Linked DNA regions of Arabidopsis thaliana. The protein of the gene in region 2 purifies or fractionates together with the protein of the main gene of each other region. This does not show direct contact. Each region holds a gene or a part of one and is shown on either strand. Other genes may lie near its edges.

What was found.
Region 1: the proteins of AT5G16300 (region 2) and AT1G67930 fractionate together in Arabidopsis thaliana (co-fractionation; one large-scale study listed by BioGRID). This does not show direct contact.
Region 3: the proteins of AT5G16300 (region 2) and EYE fractionate together in Arabidopsis thaliana (co-fractionation; one large-scale study listed by BioGRID). This does not show direct contact.

The regions. Positions count from the first base shown.
Region 1 is NC_003070.9:25,475,160-25,479,771, reverse strand, and holds the start of AT1G67930 (Golgi transport complex protein-like protein), read left to right. Parts: upstream 1-2,226; 5' UTR 2,227-2,439; coding exon 2,440-3,543; intron 3,544-3,834; coding exon 3,835-4,308; intron 4,309-4,612. Other genes in the region: AT1G67950 (RNA-binding (RRM/RBD/RNP motifs) family protein), read left to right, coding at 1-1, 90-165, 243-326, 397-888; ABCI17 (non-intrinsic ABC protein 3), read right to left, coding at 1,105-1,547, 1,619-1,967. UniProt on the Arabidopsis thaliana protein: Required for normal Golgi function.
Region 2 is NC_003076.8:5,335,734-5,340,345, forward strand, and holds the start of AT5G16300 (Vps51/Vps67 family (components of vesicular transport) protein), read left to right. Parts: upstream 1-2,161; 5' UTR 2,162-2,385; coding exon 2,386-4,612. Other genes in the region: VAT1 (VALINE-TOLERANT 1), read left to right, coding at 296-448, 536-616, 727-831, 931-1,053, 1,144-1,296, 1,406-1,471, 1,571-1,654.
Region 3 is NC_003076.8:20,888,955-20,893,566, reverse strand, and holds the start of EYE (conserved oligomeric Golgi complex component-related / COG complex component-like protein), read left to right. Parts: upstream 1-2,559; 5' UTR 2,560-2,771; coding exon 2,772-3,056; intron 3,057-3,163; coding exon 3,164-3,253; intron 3,254-3,342; coding exon 3,343-3,462; intron 3,463-3,541; coding exon 3,542-3,643; intron 3,644-3,738; coding exon 3,739-4,019; intron 4,020-4,156; coding exon 4,157-4,302; intron 4,303-4,612. Other genes in the region: RIN3 (RPM1 interacting protein 3), read right to left, coding at 167-403; AT5G51440 (HSP20-like chaperones superfamily protein), read right to left, coding at 1,554-1,981, 2,121-2,325. UniProt on the Arabidopsis thaliana protein: Required for normal Golgi function. Necessary for embryo development and pigmentation, especially for the expansion of cells and organs, and for the formation of the organized shoot apical meristem (SAM).

The DNA.
Region 1 (4,612 bases), on a different chromosome or scaffold from region 2:
GGTATGAAAAATAACTTGTTGTAAATTATCATCTTCTTGTTAAAGATGATCTTTACCAATATCTCTAATGTTTACTCTAATGATCTCAGTGAGACACAAGAGAGTCAGGTCGCATATGTTACTTTTAAGGATTCACAAGGAGCTGAAACTGCAATGCTCTTAACGGTATTTTGCTTTCCGCGTATGCATCATTCCGTATATTTCATGAATTAGTGCTTACAGCGAAAAACATTTCCTTCCAGGGAGCTGTCATTGCAGATCTTCGTGTTAGTATAACTCCTGCTGTTAACTATCAGCTACCACCAGAAGCCCTTGCACTTGACTCGGTAAAGACCGGAAACTCTTTGATTTATTCGTTACTCTCTCGGTGTTCATGTTGTTTCCTCTGTGTAGCAGGAACATTCGTTTAATGGTTTTTCTGTCAAGAAAGCTGAAGATGTGGTGAACATCATGGTGGGAAGAGGTTATGCTCTTGGAAAAGACGCCATGGAGAAAGCCAAAGCATTTGATGACAGACACAACTTGATCTCAAACGCTTCTGCAACCATTGCATCGCTTGACGATAAGATGGGTCTGAGCGAAAAGCTAAGCATAGGAACAACTGTGGTTAATGAGAAGTTGAGAGATATCGATGAGCGATATCAGGTGAGGGAGATAACGAAATCTGCTTTAGCAGCTGCTGAAGAGACAGCAATCAGTGCAAGAACGGCTTTAATGGCAAACCCTTATGTATCAAGTGGAGCTTCGTGGTTTTCAAACGCGTTTGGCGCAGTGACAAAGGCGGTTAAAGAGAAAGTTGAGAATGGAGGAGAAGGAAGAAAGGAGATCATCACACTTGATCCCTCTTCACCCAAAGTTCCTGCTGTAGTTCCTGTTAAGCTCGGTTGATGCAGATCTCATCAAACCAATCGGATCTCGACTAAATTCTTTGATAGGTTTGTTGTTCATATATATGCTTTCGTATGCTAAAGAGAAGATAAAAAGACATAAACCATGAAAGGTGTTGTTACATTCAACCAGCATTTGTTCCTCTCTTGAAAGAGATTATTAAGATTCAAGCAAAATAGCAAATAACTTGCAGGAACCATCAATGAGAAAATGGTCTCAAGAACTGAGTTGAAGAAACCTCTGTGCCATTGGATGCGTAGCGTGCGAAAGCTCACTTGGTTTAAGAACTTCAACAATCTCTCCGTCGACAACAAGGCAAACGATATCAGCAACTTTCTGAATCTGCTTGATACTGTGAGAAACAATCACAGTAGTAATCCCTCTCTGCTTCTTCAGTTTCACTATAACATCCTCAATGTTCTCTGTCGATATCGGATCAAGAGCACTTGTTGGTTCATCGAGCAGCAACACCTCAGGCTCGTTGGCTAGAGTCCTTGCAAGTGCTACTCGTTGAGCTTGACCCACAGATAACTCTGCACCAGTCTTCTTAGCAAAGGAAGCATCAAGGTCTGCAAGACTTAGCAGCTTATAAACCTCTTCGTCACTTAGTTTCTCCCCTCTCAAATTCGGACCATATCTCACATTATCCGCAACAGTCCCTGTAACCAACCACACATTATCAAGACCTATGAAACTAGAGGCTAAGCAAATCCCAAAATTTGATTATTACCTTGAAAAAGAACAGGAAGCTGAAAAAGCATTCCAACTCTACGACGAAGAGCAATAACATCAACGTTGGTTATATCTTCACCGTCCAAGAACACAGTTGACTCCGGTGGTTCCCAAAGACGATTCAGAGATCTCAAAAACGTTGACTTTCCACTTCCACTAGGTCCAATCACACCAACGATCATACCTTTTGGTATATCTATCGTAACTCCTTTCAAGATCCGAGATCCATCATCGGCGACTCGGGTCAGATCATGTACCCGAATCTTTGGTTCTGAACCAGACACAACAACATCCACAAGATGCTCTCGTAATGATCCATCGGATTCGTTAGACCAAAGTGATGGCATGGCTTTAAAGTTTTCAACTTTTTTTGATCAAAACACTCACTTAACGAAAAGATTTGTGTCCGTATATGAACAATAAGAATCAGTCAATTGATATTGACAATTTATTATTCTTACACCACTTAGTGGCCAACTTTTAGGACCAATCTCTGACATTTACATAATTTATGACATCACGAGATTTAGAGGAGGAATTGTTTTTTTTTTTTTTCACATCCAGATACAAATTCCCTACATGACTACATCTATCACTTGACTATGCCAGAAATGATAATTCCGGTTCGTAGATAACCAACAAAATTCAGACACAGAAATTAAAGTAGACCGGTTCACTATCGTATAACTTCGCTTTGAGTTTTTTTTTTTTTTTTTTGGTGTTTCAGAGATTAACTTTGAAAAATGAGTATCGCTTTGATCTCCTGCTAAAATCGCCATTGCAAAATTCAAAACCTGTAGAGATTGAAACTGTAAAAAAATGGCACTACCTCCATCGTCTCCTTCACCATCATCTCCATCTCTTCAACGTCTCTCCACCTTCAAAAACCCTCCTCCTTCTTCACTCTCCTCCGGCGCACCACCACCACAAACACCGTCATCTTCCTCTTCTTCGCCGCTCGATTCTTTTGCCACCGATCCAATCCTCTCCCCATTCCTCTCATCTTCCTTCTCCTCCGCATCATTCTCCTCCGCCGCTCTCGCTTCTGGATCTCCGGCCTCCACCGCCGAACGTCTCCACCAAGCAATCCGCCTCCTCGATTCACAGCTCCGTAATGACGTCATCTCTCGTCACCCTGAATTGCTCGCTCAGCTCTCTTCTCTCTCACACGCCGATGTATCTCTCTCTTCTCTCCGATCCTCCGTCTCTTCACTCCAATCTTCAATTCGCCGTGTCAGATCCGACCTCTCTGAACCGATCAAATCGATCCGATCTAAATCTGTTCAGCTATCTAATCTCCATACAGCTACTGAGTTACTATCTCACTCCGTTCGTACGCTTCGTCTCTCTAAGAAGCTTCGAGATCTAGCGGATTTTCCTGATCCAGATAAGATCGATCTCACTAAAGCTGCACAGTTCCATTTCGAGATCTTAACAATGTGTAAAGAGTATGATCTCTTTGGCATTGATGTGATTGATGAGGAAATCAAGTTTGTTACTGAGATTGGAGAGAAATTGAGATCTGAAGCTATGAAGGTGTTGGAGAGAGGCATGGAAGGGTTGAATCAAGCTGAAGTTGGGACTGGTTTGCAAGTTTTCTATAACCTTGGAGAGCTTAAGTCTACGGTGGATCAATTGGTGAATAAGTATAAGGGAATGGCTGTGAAGAGTGTGAGTGTTGCTATGGATATGAAAGCTATTACTTCTGGCTCAGGTGGTGGCTTCGGGCCTGGTGGGATTAGGTCTAGCGGATCACCGCATATTGGTGGTGGTGCTAAAGTTAGGGAGGCGTTGTGGCAGAGGATGGCTAGTTGTATGGAACAGTTGTGTTCACTTGTAGTTGCTGTGTGGCATTTGCAGCGTGTACTGTCTAAGAAGAGGGATCCATTTACTCATGTCCTTCTTCTTGACGAAGTCATCAAGGTGCGGAATTTAACTGGAATTTTAGGCTCCCTGAGTTTGTTTATTCGTTAGTTAAAGATATTGTCAATGTCCTGAGGAATAAGCTGCATTAGATCATTGAGAGGATCAGAGTTTCTTGTCACTTTTAGCGAGCTCGATGATGTTTGAACAATTTAAGTAGATGATCCTTCAATGTTTTTGCATCAAAAGGAAGTTTTGGGATGGGTTTCTGTGGTGTCAGGGCTGTTGATTAGTTTAGATTCCAACTTTTTAATTGGTTTTATTGCTTACATGAAGTGTTTATATGCACAGGAAGGCGATTCTATGTTAACCGATAGAGTCTGGGATGCACTTGTGAAGGCTTTTACTAGCCAAATGAAGTCTGCATACACAGCTTCGAGTTTTGTAAAAGAAATATTCACCATGGGATATCCGAAGCTTGTGTCTATGATAGAAAATCTTCTTGAAAGGATTTCTCGTGATACAGATGTTAAAGGAGTGTTACCTGCCATTAATTTAGAAAGGAAAGAACAAATGGTTGCATGCATTGCTATATTCCAGACTGCTTTCTTATCCCTATGCTTTGGCCGCTTGTCAGACCTTGTAAACTCGATATTCCCTATGTCGAGCCGTGGGAGTTTACCTTCGAAAGAACAGATTTCACAGGTATTATCACACATTCAAGATGAGATTGAGGCTGTTCATCCAGATGCTCGTTTGACTCTTCTAGTTTTGCGTGAGATAGGCAAGGCCCTTAGTAACCTAGCTCAACGAGCTGAGTGCCAGGTATGATAGACCTCTTGTTGGTTATTGTCCTCTTGTTATGTGCGATAGCTCCCTTAGTATGGTATCAATTTGTGCTTGTATTATATAGAAATTCTTAAAGTTGCATACAGTTGTATAGGAGAGATTGAGTACAAAGTAATAATTCGTGGGGCAATTATAATTTCTTCCAGACAGAAATGAAGAGAATTAGAGCTACATCTACCTCTACTATGCAAATATATACGTGTTAACTACCTGACATAATTAGAGTTAACAGTGTAAAGAAGTTATTCTGCTACTTATGCGTTTATGTTTGAAATGTAAC
Region 2 (4,612 bases):
CACTTGGAGCCTCTTTTTTTTTTTTTTTTTTTTTTGGTCTATTATGTCACACATACAGACCCGAGTTCCTTTGGTGAATCTCAGGACACTCTAAATGGCAGAGCACATGAAATTCCCAGTTTAGCTTTAAATACATGTTCACATCTTACATGAAAACTGATTAAATTACTTAATCTCTAATGCGGATTTTATCTTCTTTTCCATGTAGTTAATTTCTGCGTTTCACTGACTATAATGAGTAATTTTAAGAATCAGCTTTTTTAATCCTAACTGTTGTTGTATACTACTACTCTAGATTGCTCTGAGACGGGAAAAGATGGGAGAAACCGCTCCGTTTTGGAGATTTTCAGCGGCATCATATCCACATCTTGTAAAGGAATCATCTCATGAGACTGTTGCAGAGAAAACAAAACTAGCATTGACTGGAAATGGCAATGCATCATCCGGGGTATAGAAATATTAGCTAATTTATTTTCTCCCTGTGTATATCTAAGCACTAGTAGATTGAACGAGATTAACTGATACTTTATTTTAGGGTGACGTTTATCCAGTGGAACCCTATAACGATTTCAAACCGGTCCTTGACGCTCATTGGGGAATGGTCTACGATGAAGATGTAAGACACGTTTCTCGGATACTGCATTCGTTTTATAATTTTCTTTTTGATCCAGTAAATCCTTCGAAATTAGAGGTCAAAGTGAACTAAAACTGTTTACCTTTTTGCAGTCGAGCGGACTTCGGTCCCACACATTATCTTTACTTGTGGCCAACGTTCCCGGAGTTCTCAATCTAATAACTGGAGCTATCTCTAGAAGAGGTTATAACATCCAGGTTATTATGCACACACTTTTGCTTTTAGCTTCACCGATGTGATGCATACTACTCATTTCTCTCAAGAGTATGTGAAAGTTGTTGCTTTTATTGCTCTAGAGTCTAGCTGTTGGTCCTGCTGAGAAAGAGGGCTTATCTCGGATTACAACAGTTATTCCCGGAACTGATGAAAATATAGATAAATTGGTTAGGCAGCTCCAGAAGTTGATTGATCTTCAGGAGGTGAGCTAATGATTCGAAACCGTAGTGTACTTTGGTTTTAATTTTAATTTTATATGTCTAATAACGTTTCCCTTTCATTGGCTTTTCTAGATCCAAAATATAACGCACATGCCATTTGCGGAGCGAGAACTGATGCTCATCAAAGTAGCTGCTGATACTTCTGCAAGGAGAGATGTTTTAGATATTGCTCAAGTTTTCCGTGCTAAAGCCATTGATGTCTCTGATCATACTATCACCCTTGAGGTGCTGATATCATATCTCCCTGAACTTTACAACAAAAAGCTCTCGTAGCTTTCTGATATTTCAAGCTTGAGATGAGATCTAGTAGCTGATGAAATCCGTCGATTTGCAGGTTACAGGGGATCTCAGAAAAATGTCTGCATTACAAACGCAGTTAGAGGCCTATGGAATCTGCGAGGTTAAAAAAAAGTTTCTTGATTTATCTCTAATCTCTTCACAGACACGGTCACTGTTGTGTCTGGCGATTCTTATGGTTTGTGTTTTATGAAAATTGAAGGTGGCTCGGACAGGAAGAGTGGCATTGGTAAGAGAATCTGGAGTGGATTCGACTTATCTTCGTGGATACTCTCTTCCTTTGTAGTTCTAGAGGTTAGTAATCTCTTTTATAATCACAGATGCATCATGCATTGTTGTCGTTTTACATCATCATCATCTGTGTTATATATCAAAGGAAATTCTTGTGCAGAGGACTTGCCGCAAGCTTCAGTGTCGTTCCTGGAAACTAGTCAAAAGGACTGCACGTTGTTTCAGCATCTGTGATTGATTGCTTCCTCACGAGTCATGGCGCTTCGAGTTGTTGTTATAGGAGGAGCTATTTTATGAACTAAAAATAAATAATTATCTTTGTTCCGTTAAATTAGTTTTGCATACTAATCAAATGTAGAACACTGTTACTAGTTTGTCACTTATTTAGTATCAAAGACGTGTATTAGTATATACTCCAATCGATCTTAACTTAACAATTAAGCTCTAACCGGACCGGACTTGGTTAGATCTTAACTTAACAATTAAGCTTTAACCGGACCGGACTTGGTTAGAATCCTTCCTTGCGAACCAAATTAGGGCAAACTTGTAATATTGAGGAAACGTTTAATTCTTTTCGTGTTTCTTCTTCGCAGCAATTGCAGAAACTTAAAAAAAAAAACTCAAAAATTAGATCTTAATTCGAGGATTCTACTTCTGAATCTGAGGAAAAGCTATCCCAGATCCGATCAGATCTGTTTTGTTGATTCTCTTCTTCTTCAGTCAGTGGAAGCTATGATGGATTGCTAAAAGAGAATACAATACGCACGAAGCCACGCTTGAGAAACCATGAGAATGTCATCAGCTTCCGCCGGGGAATACCGGCCTTCCGCCGTAAGTCTCAGCAGTAACGGAGGTGGTCAACGAGATGCTGAGTCTCTTTTTCGCACGAAACCAATGTCGGAGATTCGAATTGTGGAGTCGGCGACTAGGAAGAACATCGAGGATAAGAAAGAGGAGCTTCGGCAACTCGTTGGGACTAGGTACCGTGATCTAATCGACTCAGCTGACTCGATTGTTCACATGAAGTCGCTCTGTGAGTCGATCTCAGCCAATATCTCTTCGATCCACGGTAACATTCGATCGCTTTCTTCTTCTTCTGTAGCGGAAACTCCTAAGCTTGCTAGCCTTAACCCAGTACGAGTCAATGTCTATGGGATCGCTTGTCGTGTTAAGTATCTGGTGGATACGCCTGAGAATATATGGGGATGCCTTGACGAGTCTATGTTTCTAGAGGCTGCGGGGAGGTACATGCGTGCTCAGCATGTGCAGCAGAGACTGATCAAGTTGGAGGGATGTGGTGGTGGTGTAGCAGAGGTGGATCAGAGTAAGCTGTTGGCGAATTTTCCACTATTGGAGCACCAATGGCAGATAGTTGAGAGTTTTAAGGCTCAGATTTCGCAGAGGAGCCATGAGCGGCTTCTAGATCCGGGTTTAGGACTGGGAGCTTATGTGGATGCCTTAACTGCTGTCGCGGTGGTTGATGAGCTTGATCCAGAGCAAGTGCTTGAGTTGTTTCTAGACTCGAGGAAGACTTGGATTCTGCAAAAGTTGAATGCTTGTACTGGTGAGGATGCGGGTGAGGTTGTTTTGGTGTTTTGTGATGTGTTAAGTGTGATTCAGGTTACAGTGGGACAAGTTGGGGAACTCTTCTTGCAAGCCTTGACTGACATGCCTCTATTTTATAAAACAATCTTGAGTACCCCTCCAGCTTCTCAACTGTTTGGTGGAATTCCGAATCCAGAGGAAGAGGTTGAGTTGTGGAAATCCTTCAGAGATAAACTGGAATCCGTTATGCTCATCCTTGATAAAAATGACGTTTCTAAGTCTTGTCTGACTTGGTTGAGGGAATGCGGTGGACAGATTGTTGGTAAGGTTAGTGGGAAGCATTTGATTGAAGCTATAGTTACTGGCGCGGAGCTTGGATCAGCCGAAAAGTTGATAAGGGAGACCATGGATAGCAAAGATGTCTTGAGGGGTAGTTTGGATTGGCTTAAAAGTGTTTTCGGGTCTGAGGTAGAGTTGCCTTGGAATAGAATCCGAGAGCTTGTTCTGGGGGATGATTTGAACCTATGGGATGAAATATTTGAGAAGGCCTTTGTGGAAAGGATGAAATCTATCATTGACTCCAAATTTGAGAATTTGACTAAAGCTGTCAATGTAGCAGATTCGGTACATGCTTATAGTGAGATTACTGGTGAGAAAATCAACTTCCAAGCATACTTAAACAGACCTTCTACAGGTGGTGGTGTCTGGTTCATTGAGCCTAATTCAAAGAAAGTTGGTCTTATTTCCGGAAATAAATCATCACCTGAAGAAAGCGACTTCCAAAGTTGTCTAACTGCGTACTTTGGTCCTGAAGTTAGCCAAATGAGAGATGCAGTTGATAGGCGCTGCCATAGTGTTTTGGAAGACCTCCTAAGCTTCTTCGAGTCAGAAAAGGCAGGTCCAAGGTTAAAGGATCTTGCACCATACGTGCAGAATAAGTGTTATGACAGTGTCTCAGCACTTCTTGCAGATGTAGATAAAGAACTTGAATTTCTATGTGCTGCCGTGAAGAAAGAGAACAAGGACAGTGAAGCAATTCCACCTGCTATAATAATTGAGAAATCACTTTTTATGGGACGCCTTTTGTTTGCATTGCTGAACCACTCAAAACATGTTCCCTTAATTCTCGGTTCTCCAAGATTGTGGTGTAGAGAAACTATGACTGCAGTTTCTGATAAGTTGTCATCCTTGTTGAGGCAGCCAAGATTTAGCTCGAATACTCCAGCCACTGCTGACAGCCCTGGAAAGCAATTGCATACCGATCTTAGAAAGCAGACTTCATTAGCTGTTGCTGCACTACTGGGAGCGGAAGAGAAAACAAGTCCAAAATTTGAAGAGCTTAATAGAACTATGCGAGATCTGTGCATCAAGGCTCATACATTGTGGATAAAGTGGTTATCTGATGAGCTTTCAGCTATTCTCTTGCGTGATCTTAGGAGTGATGATGGATTGTCTGCTACAACTCCTT
Region 3 (4,612 bases), about 16 Mb from region 2:
AAACTTATAATTCATGTATTTTCTAATAGCCAAACTACGAGCTTTACATTGAATTCCATCTAAAGGAAAGAACCATTCAAAAGATGTATATCTATTCTACGTAAGAATAAAGCTAGCCGACGAATATTGCTTAAACTTAACCTCGGAAGTAAAAGACCACTCTTACCTTGAGAGAAAGAACAAGAAGAATGTAGATATTGAGAACAAAACTTGCCAGCAATGCAATTGTAGTGTGAGAACTCAGAAGAAGCTCAAGGGTATTCTCAGAATTCCCTAAAGAAATGTTCTTGGTGATTATCCCATCAGCTCTAAGTCTATCAAGAGACAACTCCGTCCAGACTTGTAAACCCACAAAGCTCAAAGCTGTTGTTGCCACGGAAATGTGCAAATATGTTATCCCCATTAGAAACTATTATAGCCTTCTCACTCCGAATTAACCCACAGATTCTCATTTAGCATGACGTCCCCTGCATCAACATGATTTTGCATAAGCTAAGCAAACCAAAAGCTTATGTAAGTTAGAGAATTGAGTTAAAAAGTTTCAATTTTTTTATAACGTAGGCCAATCGAAGCAAGTAAAATTCAAAACCATGATCACGAAGTTCATAGGATACTGCAATTGAGAGAGATATGTATTAAATAAGTAAAATTGAAGAAACTGGGAAATTCAATTAACCAAAGGAGAGAGATGAGCTGAAAGATTGAGGTCAATAGAAGAAAATATGAAGATAATGGTGGATTCTGCAGAGAGCGAAATGGATCAAAACCTGAGTTCGCGATTGGAAAATTCTCCTCAGCACCGGCAATTGCGTCCTCTTTTTGTCTCTCTTTCTCGATGGACAAGGAAAAATGAAGAATATAAAATGCGGAAGAAAAAAACTCAAAATAATAAACCATGCGGTAAATAAAAAGTTACTTAAATTTGACGATGCCGACACGAACGAGTTCTATGGTCACCGAAGTGGTTCCAAAGAAGTAAAGCTATAAAGAGCGCGCTTTGCCAAACAGAGGTGAAAAAAAAACGGTAGCAAAATTCTCTAATAGTCTTGTCCCACAACCTTCTTCTGGTTGCTGAGACCTATATCAACATTTCCAGCACATTCAAAATCAGTTACTTGGTATCAATTTGATGTATCATCCCCTTATAAAACCGAGTTTGAACATCGAGAATGAGCATCGAATGTATCGTTGATCATGGCTCTGTCCAGCATGTTTGATAACACCACCATAGTCCATAGGTATAATGATAGAAAATCGTCCTAGCAGACTCTTTTTCTCCATAAATAATATCCAAATAACTTCAACTATATCATAGTTGCTACGATATTCATATCCAGAATCCGATATCAAGAATTTGGGAAACAAAATCCGAACCTATGATATGAAAGTAGTCAAACGTACATAGATCATTGATGTAACGAAAAAAGTCAAAATCCCGAACACATAGGACCGTGGGAAATGTCATTCTCCTTGATTCACCAAAGGACACCTTAAAGTTCACAAATTCACTCACTTACTTCCATTCCATCTCAAACAATCCAAAATAAAACACTCTAGTCAACGTTTATGTGACGAATATTGTTACGCTCATCCTCTTTAATCTTTGGAATCACCACTTTCAACACACCATTCTTCATTTCCGCCTTAATCTCATCAGTCTTGTATACTTTCTCCGGTAACTCAATCCTACTCGTAAACCTCCGTCCATCTCCAGAAACATCTTCTCCCTCCTCTGTTTCCCCTTCTCCTCTAATCACCAATGTGTTCTGTTCCAAAGCCAATTTCACATCCTCTCTGCTTAGTCCCGGCATATCTATCCTTAGATGCAACGCGTCGTCTTTCTCTTTCACGTTCCAACCACGTCTAACTCCAGAAGCTCCCATTCCACGAGTAGCTGATACCAAAGGGATTTCGCTTACCTGGTCCATGAAATTCAGCATCTGGCTCAAGCTTCTCGTTGGAGTAAACGGATCGAGTATATCTGTTTGAAAAAACAACCAAATTTTCAGATTCAACAGATCTCCAAAACAAAGTTAGATGTACTCTATACATAAATCACTAAACATGTATCAAATTGGGAAAATCTATAGCGAAATTGGACGGAGGAACCATGGATTTACGTGAGAAGAAATCGCCGCCGTGGCGAGAAACATGTCGGTTTGAGTGATGGTTCCTATCGACACCGTCTTCATAGTTTCTGGCGGCGTTGGTATTGAAGAGGCGAGATGAAGCAGCCACCGGACGAACGGCTCTTAAGGCGCGAGGGACGGCGACGGTGGAAGAAGAGAGAAGTCTCCTGAGAGCTAAAGCCGATGATGACGCCATTTTTGGAAAGAGAAGAAGCTTAGAATTAGCAAGTGATTAATTATTTTCAAGCTCGATGAGATATTTTTTATACTCTTTGAACGAAAAAAAAGCTGTTAGAGAAAGGTTTATATAGAACAGAGAGTAGAAGAAGCTGCTAGAGGCTAGAGAGTCGCTTAAGGATGGTTCTAGAACTGCGTGGTCTCCAAGTAAAATAAAGAAAAATAAAGAAAAAGAAAGAAGAAAACTTTTTCCGTGACGGCCCATCACTTTGGGGCCCAGATTTGTAAATTTATCTTCCGTTTACTTTGGTTTGGTTTTAAAGTCGAATTTGAAAGTCGGTTTAGATCGATTTGGTTTAGTTTCTTCTTCAGTGTATCTGCGAAATCAGAGGATCTTCTTCTCTTCAACATCATCATCGTCGAAGCTGAAGAGAATCTAAGGTAAATCGGGTGATCGGATCAAGGATGATGCTGGATCTAGGTCCATTCTCAGATGAGAAGTTCGATGCGAAGCGATGGGTTAACTCGTCGTGCCAGGCGCGTCACCCACAGGATTCACTCGAGAAACATCTTGTGGATCTGGAAATGAAGCTTCAGATTGCCTCCGAGGAGATCGGAGCTTCTCTTGAAGAGCAGAGCGGTGGTGCTCTCCTCCGTGTTCCTCGTGCCACACGAGACGTGTTGCGTCTCCGTGATGATGCTGTGTCTCTGCGTGGTTCTGTTGCTGGAATCCTCCAGAAGCTCAAGAAGGTACGCATTTGTGCTGATTCCTGAGATTTTGTTTGGATCTCTTCTCGAAAATTAGATTATATCAAATTCCTGAAACTTGTGCTCTTATCGAATTCGGTACTCTGCAGGCAGAGGGTTCTTCAGCAGATTGTATAGCTGCGCTTGCTAGAGTGGACAATGTCAAACAGAGAATGGAGGCTGCCTACAAAACACTACAGGTTAGTATTCATAGTGATTTTGTGATCCATTATGTGGACACTTGGGGGTAGATCTGCAATTGATTCTCTTCTTTTTGGTATATGTACAGGATGCTGCAGGGTTAACTCAGTTAAGCTCGACGGTTGAGGATGTATTTGCTAGTGGCGATCTTCCTCGTGCTGCAGAAACTCTTGCTAGCATGCGAAATTGCCTGTCTGCTGTTGGAGAGGTAGTTTTATGTCAGCTTCAGTACTCTGAGGATTTAAGTCTTTTTCCGTCACCACTTAAAGTCCAATTTTTGTCAACAGGTTGCAGAATTTGCTAATGTGAGAAAGCAACTAGAGGTATTGGAAGATAGGCTGGAGGCGATGGTGCAGCCACGTCTTACTGATGCATTAACATATCACAAGGTTGGAACCTGTATATCTAGAGAACCCAACTACTTTAGGTTGTAATGTCTCTGTTGCCATTATTGGACTGAAAAGCCTTTCCCCAAATTTGGCAGGTTGATGTCGCCCAAGATTTGCGAGTAATTCTCATCCGGATTGGGAGATTCAAGTCTCTGGAGTTGCAATATTCAAAAGTCCGTCTAAAGCCGATTAAACAACTCTGGGAAGATTTTGACACAAAGCAAAGGGCAAACAAGCTTGCCAATGAGAGAAGTGAAAGTCAAAGGTTGTCTAGCGGCGATGAGTTTCAGTCGACATCATCTCAGACATCATTTGCCAGTTGGCTGACAAGCTTTTACGACGAGTTGCTACTCTATCTTGAGCAAGAGTGGAAATGGTAAATGTTTTACTTTTATTTACAGTAAACTGTATATATTTTCCGGGCCCTTCCAGTGACAGTATGTCAGATCTTTAGGTGATTGCAGCTTTAAGTATCAATCACTGTTGTACGTTTTTGCTTTCATGATTGTTTAGGTGTATGGTTGCCTTCCCTGATGACTACATGACTCTCGTCCCAAAGCTGTTGGTTGAGACCATGGGAGTACTGGGGGCTAGTTTTGTTTCTCGTCTTAACCTTGCAACTGGAGATGCTGTTCCTGAAACAAAAGCACTCGCCAAAGGTTAGATATGATGTCAGTACAGTTTGATTATTAGGTTTCCTTCTTAGTCTAGTCTTTTTACCCAGCTGAATTGGGATTGCGTTGCTTCTTTAGTGGTTCTACTCTACCATCCTCATGTTTGGGTAGATAGATGTAAGAAGAGTATCACTTTTTTCTGCCTTTACATGAGCTAAAGTTTTTGGCTGTTCTTGTTAAGTTTGTAATTTTTGTGCATAGTGGCCGATGTCATGAATCTGTCAATATGCAAGAGAGACTTGCAGGAAGTTTGAACAACAACTTATTTGTTACATTTTTCATTTAGTCACTGGAA